Danio rerio: one gene and its partners. The protein of the gene in region 3 binds, or shares a complex with, the protein of the main gene of each other region. Links are inferred from orthologs where the notes say so. Each region holds a gene or a part of one and is shown on either strand. Other genes may lie near its edges.

Region 1 (4,453 bases), on a different chromosome or scaffold from region 3:
TGTAAGAGTTTTATCAAATAAAATGGTTCATGTGCTTAATTTTAAATCAATATAAATGCATATCTTTGAATTATTTAAATTAACTGATGCTTTTTTTATCCTCTCTCTGTAACATTATGGAAATTATTCAAAATAGTAGAGTAAAAATCAAGTAGACAGAAAAGCATTTGACTGATTTTTCTCATTGAAGCATAGTTTGTTGAGGGCTTTCTGAGGGACATGCCACACAAAGGTCAAATCAGCAGAAGGAATGTAATACATCTGAAACGAGTGTTCACCAATGGTCTGCAGTACTCGCTTTCAAATTGTGCGATGTTTCGATGCCCATTTTCATCTAGAAAATAACTGAAACACTTATCTTTCCTGTAATCCTGCCTGCGTGGATTAATGCTACATCTAGCAATTCTGTGATATAATATTACAGAGACACTGGGCAACAAGCCAGTTCTGTTTAAATATAGAGTGGGAATTCATTTGAGACTTACAGACTGAAATAAACGAATAGAACATAACAAATAAGTGTTTTTTCCACACAAGGATTCAGATGGATTTAGGCTCCAGACTACATATAATGAATTATTTGTTGTATTGTCTTTTTAACTCTATCCTAAATATCACAGCGGCAAAAAACATGAAAAATGTCTTTATGTATTAAAAGCTGGGTTTGTGTTTGTCAGTAAGTTTTATTCTTTTTCTAATATCGCCATCTAGTGGATGACTTACAATATACCGTAACTAGATAAACAGTGTGAACTAATGCACTATTTCTGAGTTGAGTAAGACATTACTTACACTCCTCCAAGCCCAACTGGTAAGCCAGATTCTGCAGACCCTTCACCTTTTCCATCAAATTTGCTGTGGTCAAACTTCCTAATTCTAAAAAAAAAAAAGCCACAACAAACAAGTTACAAAAAATAAAATAAAAATGGACCAGAACCGAAACAAAATATTATACTGTAGCTTTTATAAATTCCAGGGTTTCTGCAGGTTTCACAAAGTTAAATTTAAGACTTCAAGACATTTTCAAGACCCTTATGAATGAAATTTTAGACTCATAAAGGACTAATCGCTAAGGAATTTTTCATATGGCCCAGATGGAAAAGATTTTTCATTTGCCCCATCAAAAAACGATTATATATTAATAATACAATTATAATTTAATAATAAAAAAATAAATATTTTAGATATTTTTTATAAAAATATTCAAATATTGTTTAAAAACAAACAAGCTCTACTTGTATACATACACTTTATTTTTCCAACATAAACTTTCTTTACAATAAAAAATGAATTAATGTTTTTAAAGTTTTAATATAACTAAATCTATGCAAAACAATCTGTCCAGGTCGGTGTCCTCAGCAGCAAATACATGGAACACTTTTTAACAAATATTATGTATTTTGAGGAAAATAATAAAACTGTTATGGTAAACAGAGTTAAAAATCACCTTTTTATATAAAAGGTTTTATTGAGATGAATTGTTGGTGATCGTATAGGACTAATGGCCAGACTGCGTAGCGATACATAAACAAAGGAAAATTAAGACCTAATTTAAAAAAAATTTAATTTAACATTTAGGAACTACAACACAATATTTCAGTAAATTTAAGACATAAAAATGTAATTTTGAGGTTTAAGACATTTTACGACTTTTTAAGACCGCGCGGACACCCTGGAATTCACCAAGCAACTCATCTAACTATTATTAACCTATTCTACTAAGCAATATATAGAAAGCATAGATAAAAGACTAAATGATACATTAAAAGACTTGATATGAATACTACTTTAAAAAAGGCAGACCTTTCAACATTTCAATATCCTCTGACTCCAGTTCAGCCATCCATTTGGGTGGAGAATTTGTAATAGGCTGAAATAACAAAAACCAAGCCTTAATTTCACATCAACTTTGAAAAGTATTCATTATCATTTGAATATTTACTCACATTTTTAAAGGATGCTGCAAATTCTGACACACCCGGCACTGTTAAAAACAAAGCGTTCAAAAATATGACAATGTGTAATAATCAAATGTAATTTCTATATTTCAATCAGTGCATTTTTTTTTACATATATTTGGAAAAATATGTTAATGTGTCATAAATATTAGTCCAACTGAATAAGATTAGAGAGTCAAACTTACACTGCTCTGGCCACAGGTCAGGTGAAGCCCGGTCAAGATTTTCTAAACTTATCAGAGAAGATTCAAAGTCCTCACCTACACATTAAAAAGATAAATGCTCTATGGTCAGAGAAAACTCATCAGCAACAGGATCAATAAACCTGAAGTACAATAAAAAATGTTAAATATACACAATTTCAATTTTAACATAACTCAGCTTAGATGACGTTACAAAAAAAAATCTTCTGTCACATATTATTCAAGGTGTAAAATTAAGCTGATGTTATGACAGAGATATTATGTTTACTCAGCTGCTAAGTTACTCAAAGCTGAGCTAGCTGCATTGAGTAATCTTGTCACAAAATAATGAGTTACATAACTAACGTTAAAGATAAAATCACGACACACCAAAAGTAATATGTCTTCGCGTATTTACTACACTATTACATTCGTATTAAATTATTACTACACAACTGATGTCGTCTGACACGTAGCTTTGCTAATGACTGGCTCCAAACAATTTTATGACGCTATTCCGACTGAAAAGCTTATTTTGATTCAGAATCCATCAGTTCTTTATAAAAAATATGCTAAACCGCATAATGATTTATATGACTTAATTAGTCCGTTGCACTATTGCGTTAACAACTAACGCTGCCAGGGAAAAGAGGAATTAAAATTTACCTCCATTCGGAGACGCCATCTTGACAACAACACACGTGATTCTAAGCAGCCAATCACTGGAGGTCTTGGATAAAATAGCCACACCCTCTTATGTTGTAAAATGATGTCGCAATAATTGACTGAAAAATATGAATATAAATATTATTGACAGCACAAACCTTTTTGTTGACCAAACTCTTCTCAGTTCTATGTCAAACAAAGTGATTCTCTTTATTGTTAACAGTTCTCTGATCTCTTTAATGGTCTTTAATGGCCTTTTCTTGATATTGATCTTGGATGGTATTCGGAAAAAATACATATTTTTATCTAATAAAGCTGTTGAAGTCTCAATCAGAATCATTCATAATTGCTACCCAATAAACAACAAACTAGGTAAATTTAATAACAATATTTCCTTCAAATGCTCATTTTGTACTCAATATGGTGAAACACTAAATCTTTTTGGCCTATTTTGGGAGTGCACTTATTGTAAAGTCATTTGGGTTGACTTTTCCAATTTCACAAAAATTGTATTATTTCCAAACTTTTGTATTTCCCACAAAAAATTATATTCTTTAGATACTTTCTGAATTCTTGTAAATTTGTAATTAATTGTTTCCCCCCCCCTAAAATTTACATCGATAAATGTAAATTTTCAAAGAAACACCCTACTTTTTTATTTTAAGAAATTACTTTATATGTGAACTCTTTAAAAGACCCTAACAGTTATATTGCATGTAAAACACTTTCTTGGTGTAAATCATTTAAACTTGTTTAATTTGCTGGAATTTTAATTATGAATTCATTTCTGTCTATTTGTTTAAACTGTGTCTTTGATAACGTTCTTTCTTGCAAAATAAGTAAAAATATATATGAATAATATGCGAACATTAATATGTTTAGCTTTCATACAGAGTACTTGAGTAGTATTATGATAGTGTTAATATAATATAAGACTCAAGACTCAGTCAGGCCAAAAAACACAGCAGAACAAACTTCTGTACAGCTACAAAAAAGGCAGTAATTATAAATAGACCAAAAATAAAAATTATTGGTAAACATAAACAAGTCTAGTTTCAGCACATTTTAACGTATCATATCAATATTTTTAACAGAGTGTTCATTTTATTTATTTTAAAACACTAAAGAAACATCATTCATTCACTGTAGCATTATTACTTTGATCAACCCATTTTCAAATGCTTTGTACATAGCATTATACGAAAAGGCCCATTTAAAAGACATTAAAAAAGGGATGGTATTGTAAAACTGGTTGAAGAAATAACTATCAACACCTCTGTACAGATCATGTCTCTAAAAGACAGAAGGTCACTTTATTATACTTGGAAAAATAAAATAATTAGTAAAATTAAATAAGTAAAATTCAAGTATAAATACAGAGCTCTTACAATGTTGGTGATTAATGAAAAACATATATATTTTCAGTCAATTGAGCCAGAAAATGTGTTGGTATCAAATGCAACACAACCTAAATCCAAATAAATGCACCTGAGTCAGTCTGTTTACAATTTGCATTTAAGACAATAATTTAAAGACAATATTGCAAACAATTTTTTTATCAACAATTCAAACACGAACTCAACTGAACTTTTCAGGAAAGACTGCTCATTACATTACAGTTTTAAAACAGAAATGCTATTAAACATT
Region 2 (3,654 bases), on a different chromosome or scaffold from region 3:
ATACACAGGCATAACGAAATTAATATCCGGGGCACCTGATAAAAAACTATGGTCTTATGAATTGAAATGATAACACTATTCATGCCACTTTTACTTTAAATCCACAGCCTTAGTAACAGTTTGCTCATTAGGGGTGTAACAGCTCAATTTACTCACGGTCCAGTATGCATCACTGTTTTAGAGTCACAATTTCAGTAAGGTACAGTCTGTGCTATGCTCAGGAAAAACATGCCTACAGAACAATTCAAAGAACAATAAACACATTTATTTGTTAACAAACACCTGACAATGCAACAGCTTCACACACATGACTGTGGATTTGCATGTTCTTGCATTAATTAAAGTAGGGCATTTTGAAAATTGTAAGGAAATTGCTTAAGAAAATAAGTTTAGATTTCCCCTTTTTCTGTTTTACATTTTTACTCAACAGTCTCAACCAACTATGCAGATAATAATTATGTCAACACATCTTAATAATTGAGCACTTTTAAAGTATTGATTACTTCTGTTTACATTATGCTTGCATTACCGAGGCAACAGCGCATCGTTATTTATGATTTTATTATGATTCCAGAGAGCTCTGTTTCACTTAGCACCATCGTAGTGAAAGAAACTTATGCCGACTTTAGCTTGATTTTGACTTGCCGACAAATGCCTGAAATCAGAGGCAAAATGGTGCTAGTTCATGCAAGGGACAATCACACAACATGAACTATCCAAAATGAATCTGAGAGAATCGCTGCTGAGTCACCGATGCCCGTAGCGATTCAAATCATGCCATGTGATACGAGTTTAGACTGAAAATACATCAGCGATCACATACAGCTAATGAGAGAGCAGCATTCACTAATGTGGGTACCTGCAGGCCAGCGAGAGGATAGGGGAGAAGTAAAAAGCACTCATTTTCAGTTTATTTGGACTCAAGAAATGGAGGAAAAACTAGTGGAAAGTTGGCAGGAGCACCCGTGTCTGACGTGTCATCTGAACAATATCACAATCAGGTCAAAAAAGAAAAAAAGTTGACGAGAAATTGCTAATTACCTTCAAACCCAAGTCAGCCAATATGTACATTTTCTACCCCATTAAAGGCTTCTTTCTGGTTATGTAGTTAATAAATAAAGATATACAGCGTGTTTTTGATTGTGAGATGTAGTCTGGACAAAGTTGTCTGCGATTCTTCCTATCGTAAAGTCATACAGTGTGAAACCCCCTGTCGCCGTTCCATCTTGCAGTGTAAACAAAGCAGCGGCAAAATGCTAGCCCAGATAGTCATGCAGTGTGAAAACATCCGTGACACGACTACTTTGAAAATCATGCAGTCTGAATTCCGCATTAAGCAAAGGAAGAGTGTTCGGCTCTTCTCTCTTATTTCAACGGAAACGGTACATAGAGAAGAAAACTGTTCTTAGAAGGCAGCGGGTAAACAGAGTAGAGGGAGTGATCAGGTGTGGAAGAACACCCAGAAGGAGTGGGTATGAAGTAACAGACCTGTGGTATGTCCATGTCCGAAAAGGATGCTTCTGAGTCTGGACACAGACCTCGATCCGCCTGTTGGTGACCACTGATCTAGGCTATCTTTGCAACAACAACAAAAAATGGCAATCGTTATGGTTTTGTGTCTGTCTGAATTTATATTGAGTGTCTGATTAAACGCTGACAGCAGCGCGCTGTGATTTGGTCTCACCTGTGCATTTGCAATGTTGCCAACTTAGTAATTTTGTTGCTAGATTTTGCAACTTTTTTTTATACTACCCTAGCAACTTTTTTTCAATAAGCACCTAGCAACAAATTTAGCAATTTTTAACAATCATTTGGCTACTTTTAGCAATTTTAAAAAGTGACTCAAAAGAGCAGTGGCTGCAGGCTTCACTCAGCTGCTAGCTGCTCAACTGTTAATTTACTGATATTTGTTAACATGTAAAATTGTTGGTAATTTATTTAGCAATAAATTTCAATAGTGCTACAATTGTCTTCACTTTCACAAATGTGTTAATTTCACAAGTTAAAAAAGTACACAAGCTGTGATTGTTTAAAAGAATGTAACTGTTCATTATCAGTGTTTTATTTAAAAATAAAACTAAATTATCAAAAAGTGTTTGTAATACTTTTACAAATAGTCAACTCTATTTTTCATACAAATCTAAATGGACATATTTCAAATAATGTTTTTGCTGAGATGGCCAGTCAATTTGAGAAAACGTTCATAATTTTGCATATTGCATAAAGATGTAGTTTTGAGATGTGGTTACGCAATGTCATCACGCAAAGTAATTTGTTAATAAGAACCTATGTACTGTGCATTTGAATGTATTGTTTTAACAATCTAATACACAGTGCCTTAGAGAATAGATACATGACAGGCTTACGTTTGTCAGATACTATGTGATGATGTCACTGATATGCAAATTAGTGTGTGACGTTATTTGGCAACATTTAGCTATTTTTAGGGCAGGCTTTATCTACTTTTCATTGAAAATAGTTGGCAACACTGCGCATTTGTGCTTTATCTCCTTCACTTGCCAAGCTGAAACGCACAGAAACTCCACATGCACACGCCGACATGTGAGGAAACGTGATGTCAACAACACATTTACATACTAAGAGGTGATTGGACAGGTCTTTGCACGTGCAATGGATGGGAAAGGTAATTGGAAGAGTACAAAGGTGGAACATTGCTTTTTTTCAGTTGTTTCTATTGACAAACCAGTATAAAAATGCATATTCTGAACAGCGGATCACAGGACACACTTAACCTTAGAAGAACAACAGGTCGATACTTTTGTTCACTGTTGCATCCCTATTGCTCATCCATAGTAACATACATTAATATTGTTTTGCCTGTGTATGTTTTTTTTTTTTGACCCAAAGTTAAAATGCATTTTACAAATCACCATAGTTTCAGCTAAAAATAATCTTTAATGTTCCACTGAAGAGATCAAACGTCACAGTCATCTTGGGCACACCATAAGCGTGATTAAATTAACACTTAATTATTTTTTTTAGGTGAACTGTTCCTTTAAACACGGCACAGTGAGAACACCACTCAGAAAACAAAAAAACGATTGAGGCATCTAGAAGGATATGGGCTGTTTAGCGAGTCGTCGGTCACATTCTTGATGCTCTGCTGAACCCAAACTCTCTGCTGGTCCAGTTCATGCTCCCTTCTGTCCAGATCCTCCAGTTCCAACTTGAGATCTATCAGCTTGTCTGCAATCTCGCGCGTGTTGCAACCCGGACCAACACCCCTACAAACATACAAAAATAGAAACAGACATTTAGATCAGATGAATTAGTTGACATTGAAGCAGACGTGTTTCTAAAACATAAATAGCAAGAGCAATTAGAAGTACTTTTGTGGCGGTCTACTAAAATAAACCTTTAATCATTTAACTGGCCAATTTTTATGTAATATTTCAAATAATAATAATAATAATAATATAAACATTGCTGCCATTCAAATTTGAAATGATTTTAAGACTGCATTTATCAGATCAAAAATACAGTAAAATAGACAAGTTCGTAGATAAACTTCATGGTGGCTTGACAAAGTCTCGTCTGAAAGTTTGAATTAGCTTTAAAGTTTAAATCATTGGTTTATATATTTATTTCACAAATATTATAGCTACAGCTAAAAAATTTTAAACACTTTATTTG
Region 3 (3,654 bases):
AACTCTAAATTAGGGTAAAAATGTGTAGAGCATGAAAAATCCAACCTGCACAATAAAAAAACATGAGCTCGACAAAAACTCACCAGTTTCTCAGCTTCTGTGTTCATCTCCTTCAAATGCTTTATGTGTTCTTTTTTAATCATGAGGATTTTGGACAGGCGAGTCTGGAAGAAAAAACAAAGTTAAAATAAACGGCAAATACATAAGCAACACCAGTGATCGGGATTCTCACCACTTGCACAAGAAACTTGACAGGAAATCCACCCAGAGTCTCTCCGTCGGTTCCCGTCAGTTTACTTCTCCAGGGGGACTGACTGAACAGAGGGTCATTATCCTGAGAACAGAGCAAGGAGAGACTCTGAATTACTTTCCAAAAGATTTCGGGAAATGATTAAGGAACATCAACGTTTTGTGTCAAAGGTTCTCAACTGGCAAATCAGACCCTGTAATTATACTGAACATCATTACAAAACTGTTTTGTTCATTTATACTTAATTCTATTCATTTTAATATAGAGGCAGCACAGTGGCTCAGTGGTAAGCAATGTCGACTCACAACAAGAAGGTTGCAGGTTTAAGTCCCACCTGAACCAGGTGTTCGTTCCAGTGATAGTTCCTAAATCGGTGCTCGTTCTTGTGAGTAACAATCACAGGGCTGATAGTGGAAAAAATTCCTGAGCCTGAACTTTTTTTCCTTGCCCCTGAGGTGAGTAGGGGTAGGGGTACTATGTATGCAACGCACTTTTAACACATAACTTGTGGGCCCCTGGGCCCAAATATATTAACAGCCTATGTGTAACCCTGATCATCATTATTGTCAAGTGGCTCTTTTTAGTCACATGCCAGTAATGTCAGTGACACATGCCAGTGTCAGTGATCTTGTGAAATGTGCCAGTAGGTGTCAGTATAAGCACGTTATAAGCACATTAATCTTATAAGTCTCTTTGCTTTAATATTTAAAAATCATTAGGCAAATGACACCTGTTATCTTACATGCATATATGTTATGAGTTTTCAACATGCATTTTATTATAACTTTTTAAAGGATATTATTTAAAATACCTTAAAATGAAAATAAGTTAAATAATAAAATAAATGAATGAATTAAAAACATAGAGAAGTCCATATTGTAGGGAACAAAGGAACTGCTAGGATGCAATAATATACAGCACAACAGATAAGTGTAACCCCTCCCATACATAAGCATGCCACAATAAATTTGACTGACATGTACTGTCAAATGACTATATTACGTACGGAAGTATGACTACGAATACATAAAATAAATGCATTTAAATTAAAACATCGTGGAGTAGCTCAGCAAATAAACTAACTTGCGACGCGATGAATTAGGTTAAAAGTCGCGTAATGATTAAATATGGTTTTACTCGTGTTAATTAATGTCATAAGCTTCGCAGGGTGTCGATGTCACTGCAGTGACATGCAGCGGGACACTCTGAGTGACACAGGTCACTACACATGCCACTAGCGAGTGACACATGACAGTGGAAAACCGGACGTGCCACCGGAAGTGTCACTACACTCAGTGGCATGTGCCAGTGTCATCTGTACGTCAGATGTCGTGTCACTCCATGTTAAAACTGCTACTGTGAATCCGCGTTCAAGCGCACACAATAAGCTAAAACTCGCCCCAAGCACCGGCAAAAACAAATAACAATGAATGTGTCGAGGAAAGAGTAAGGACATATCTTAATTATTTATTAATAAACTTATTCTGAGTCAGTGTCGCAAAGATCCTGACTGGCAATCTCCTCTTGGACTCGCCTTTAGAAAGAAATTCATCTTTACGGATTACATGAAGGAGTTTTTTTGTTTTCGATTTGTTTTATTTCGTTAAATAATAATTTAAACCTTTCTATAAATATATTTATTATGTCTGTGCGGCATATACATTTTGCTTCATTTTGTTAAGCGCTCCTGTTCAAAAACCAGACGACAGAAAGCGCATAATTTTGGTTTTCTTTATTTTATAAAAACGCTGTAACGTTTTTTGATGTATTACTCGTACTTTGTGAGCAAAAATGACGGATAACTTTAAATTGCTCCCACTGAAAAAATGCAAGTGATTGCTCTGGCGCCTCGATGTCCTGCAAGCTTTTTATAAGCAAACTATGCGCCTAATAGCACACATTCTTTAACGTTTAAGCTACCATTGTTTTATACTTGAACTGTTTTATATCTTTTATTTTAGGCAAGTCGTGATGATCTGAGAAGGCAAACTGATCAAACAGACAATGATGGTCTTCCGCTGGGCGCTGTTCGTTAAAAAAAAACGTATTTTTAACGAATAAAAAATGCTCCAAACGTTTTTCTAAATAAGCTGAATAAAAAACGAAACTAAATATAAACACTTTGCCATTAGGCTACATACAAAACTGAACTCTTTCATAGCTGAAACACTAAGTTGTTTAAGGAGAAGGGGGAAATATATTTTTGTCCCGTCTATTTCTTCACCGTTATTTCGAGAATAAACCCAGCGTAAATATGCAGATGTCATTCCCAAAACATATCAGCGTATATGTGCCGAAAACGAAAGTTTCATACAAATTCTGAATGGATTATAGCCTGGAAAGTGCAAAGCACGCTTCTCTTATTATCACTAAAAAGCGTCACTTATCTTAGTTCATAGAGATCTCACAAAGATTCGTTATAATTTATAAAGCTCTCTAAATTACACAATTAATCTTTTATTTACATGGCGTCTACACTCAAAAGATGATTCACGAGCACACAAAATGGCACTTAATAAAAACCAATCCGGCGCTTTCAGCAGTGAGTGAATTCTGTGAATCTAGAGAAATGACAGATCAATATCCGTGAACCTGATTTTTTTTTCCCCGCAGCCACAGTACGCCGGAAATCCGGCGTGGTGCCGGAACGCTATCACCCCTGCAATCACATAGTGTGAAGTATCAAAGAGGTGAGCTGAGAGAATCGCAGATAAGTCGCCGACACCCGTGAGATACTTGGCATGCTAAATATCTGGAGCAGTCGGCGATTCAAATCATGCCGTGTGAAATGAGTTCTGATAACATCGCCGATGACCTACAGCCAATGAGAGAGCAGCATCCACTAGTTTGGGTATCTGCAGGCCAGCGGGAGGTTGGGGAGAAGTTAAGGGCCTTTTTTCAATCTATTTGGGCCCAAGAAATGGAGAAAAAACTACTGGAAATTTGGCAGCAGCATTCCTGTCAGTTTGACGTGTCATCTGAGCAATAGCACAAGGGAGTCAAAAAAGAAATAAGCTTCAACACACCTGCCTGGGTGTTTCAAGTATACCTAGTAACACCTTAATTACCTTGTTCAGGTGTGTTTGATTAGGGTTGGAGCTAAAATCTGCAGGACACCGGCCCTACAGGAACAAGTTTGGTGACCACTGCCCTAAAGGGTTCTTTCTCATTATGTAGTCAATAACAAAAGATATACAACGTGGCTTCGTGTTGTTTTCATGTCACTTCTCGCGTGTGTTTGGTTGTGAGACGTAGTTAGCAGACGGAGACAAAGTTGTCGCCGATTCTTCCTATTGTAAAGTTATGCACAGTTAAACCAACCCCCTGTCGCCGATCCATCTTGTACTGTGAATAAAGCAGTGACAGAACACTACACCAGATAGTCATACAGTGTTAAAACATCT

What was found.
Region 1: the proteins of lin9 (region 3) and lin52 are in contact, whole or in part, in a crystal structure (PDB 6C48), measured with the Homo sapiens proteins. The link is inferred for Danio rerio from reciprocal best matches to the Homo sapiens genes LIN9 and LIN52. Residues at the interface, in NP_001353174.1 of Homo sapiens: Leu335, Gly336, Phe338, Phe342, Leu343, Ile344, Val346, Thr347, Leu349, Ser350, Lys351, Leu353, Met354, Lys356, Lys357, Ile360, Leu363, Arg364, Asn367, Thr368, Ala370, Glu371, Lys374, Ile382, Phe384, Gln385, Tyr388, Ala389, Val392, Leu395; in NP_001019845.2 of Homo sapiens: Asp61, Met64, Leu65, Leu68, Gly69, Leu71, Thr72, Thr73, Leu76, Met77, Val80, Leu83, Gln84, Leu86, Ala87, Leu90, Asp93, Glu94, Glu97, Met98, Arg100, Gly101, Leu104, Asn105, Ile106, Leu107, Glu108, Pro110.
Region 2: lin9 (region 3) and e2f4 share a complex: the UniProt entries of both Homo sapiens proteins name them as parts of the DREAM complex. The link is inferred for Danio rerio from reciprocal best matches to the Homo sapiens genes LIN9 and E2F4.

The regions. Positions count from the first base shown.
Region 1 is NC_133192.1:33,276,404-33,280,856, forward strand, and holds the start of lin52 (protein lin-52 homolog), read right to left. Parts: upstream 2,838-4,453; 5' UTR 2,826-2,837; coding exon 2,807-2,825; intron 2,219-2,806; coding exon 2,144-2,218; intron 1,985-2,143; coding exon 1,947-1,984; intron 1,871-1,946; coding exon 1,804-1,870; intron 877-1,803; coding exon 793-876; intron 1-792.
Region 2 is NC_133200.1:18,363,056-18,366,709, reverse strand, and holds part of e2f4 (transcription factor E2F4), read right to left. Parts: intron 3,246-3,654; coding exon 3,084-3,245; exon of another isoform or gene 3,072-3,083; coding exon of another isoform or gene 3,061-3,071; intron 1-3,060. UniProt on the Homo sapiens protein: Transcription activator that binds DNA cooperatively with DP proteins through the E2 recognition site, 5'-TTTC[CG]CGC-3' found in the promoter region of a number of genes whose products are involved in cell cycle regulation or in DNA replication.
Region 3 is NC_133195.1:47,009,932-47,013,585, reverse strand, and holds part of lin9 (protein lin-9 homolog), read right to left. Parts: intron 335-3,654; coding exon 233-334; intron 165-232; coding exon 84-164; intron 1-83. UniProt on the Homo sapiens protein: Acts as a tumor suppressor. Inhibits DNA synthesis. Its ability to inhibit oncogenic transformation is mediated through its association with RB1. Plays a role in the expression of genes required for the G1/S transition.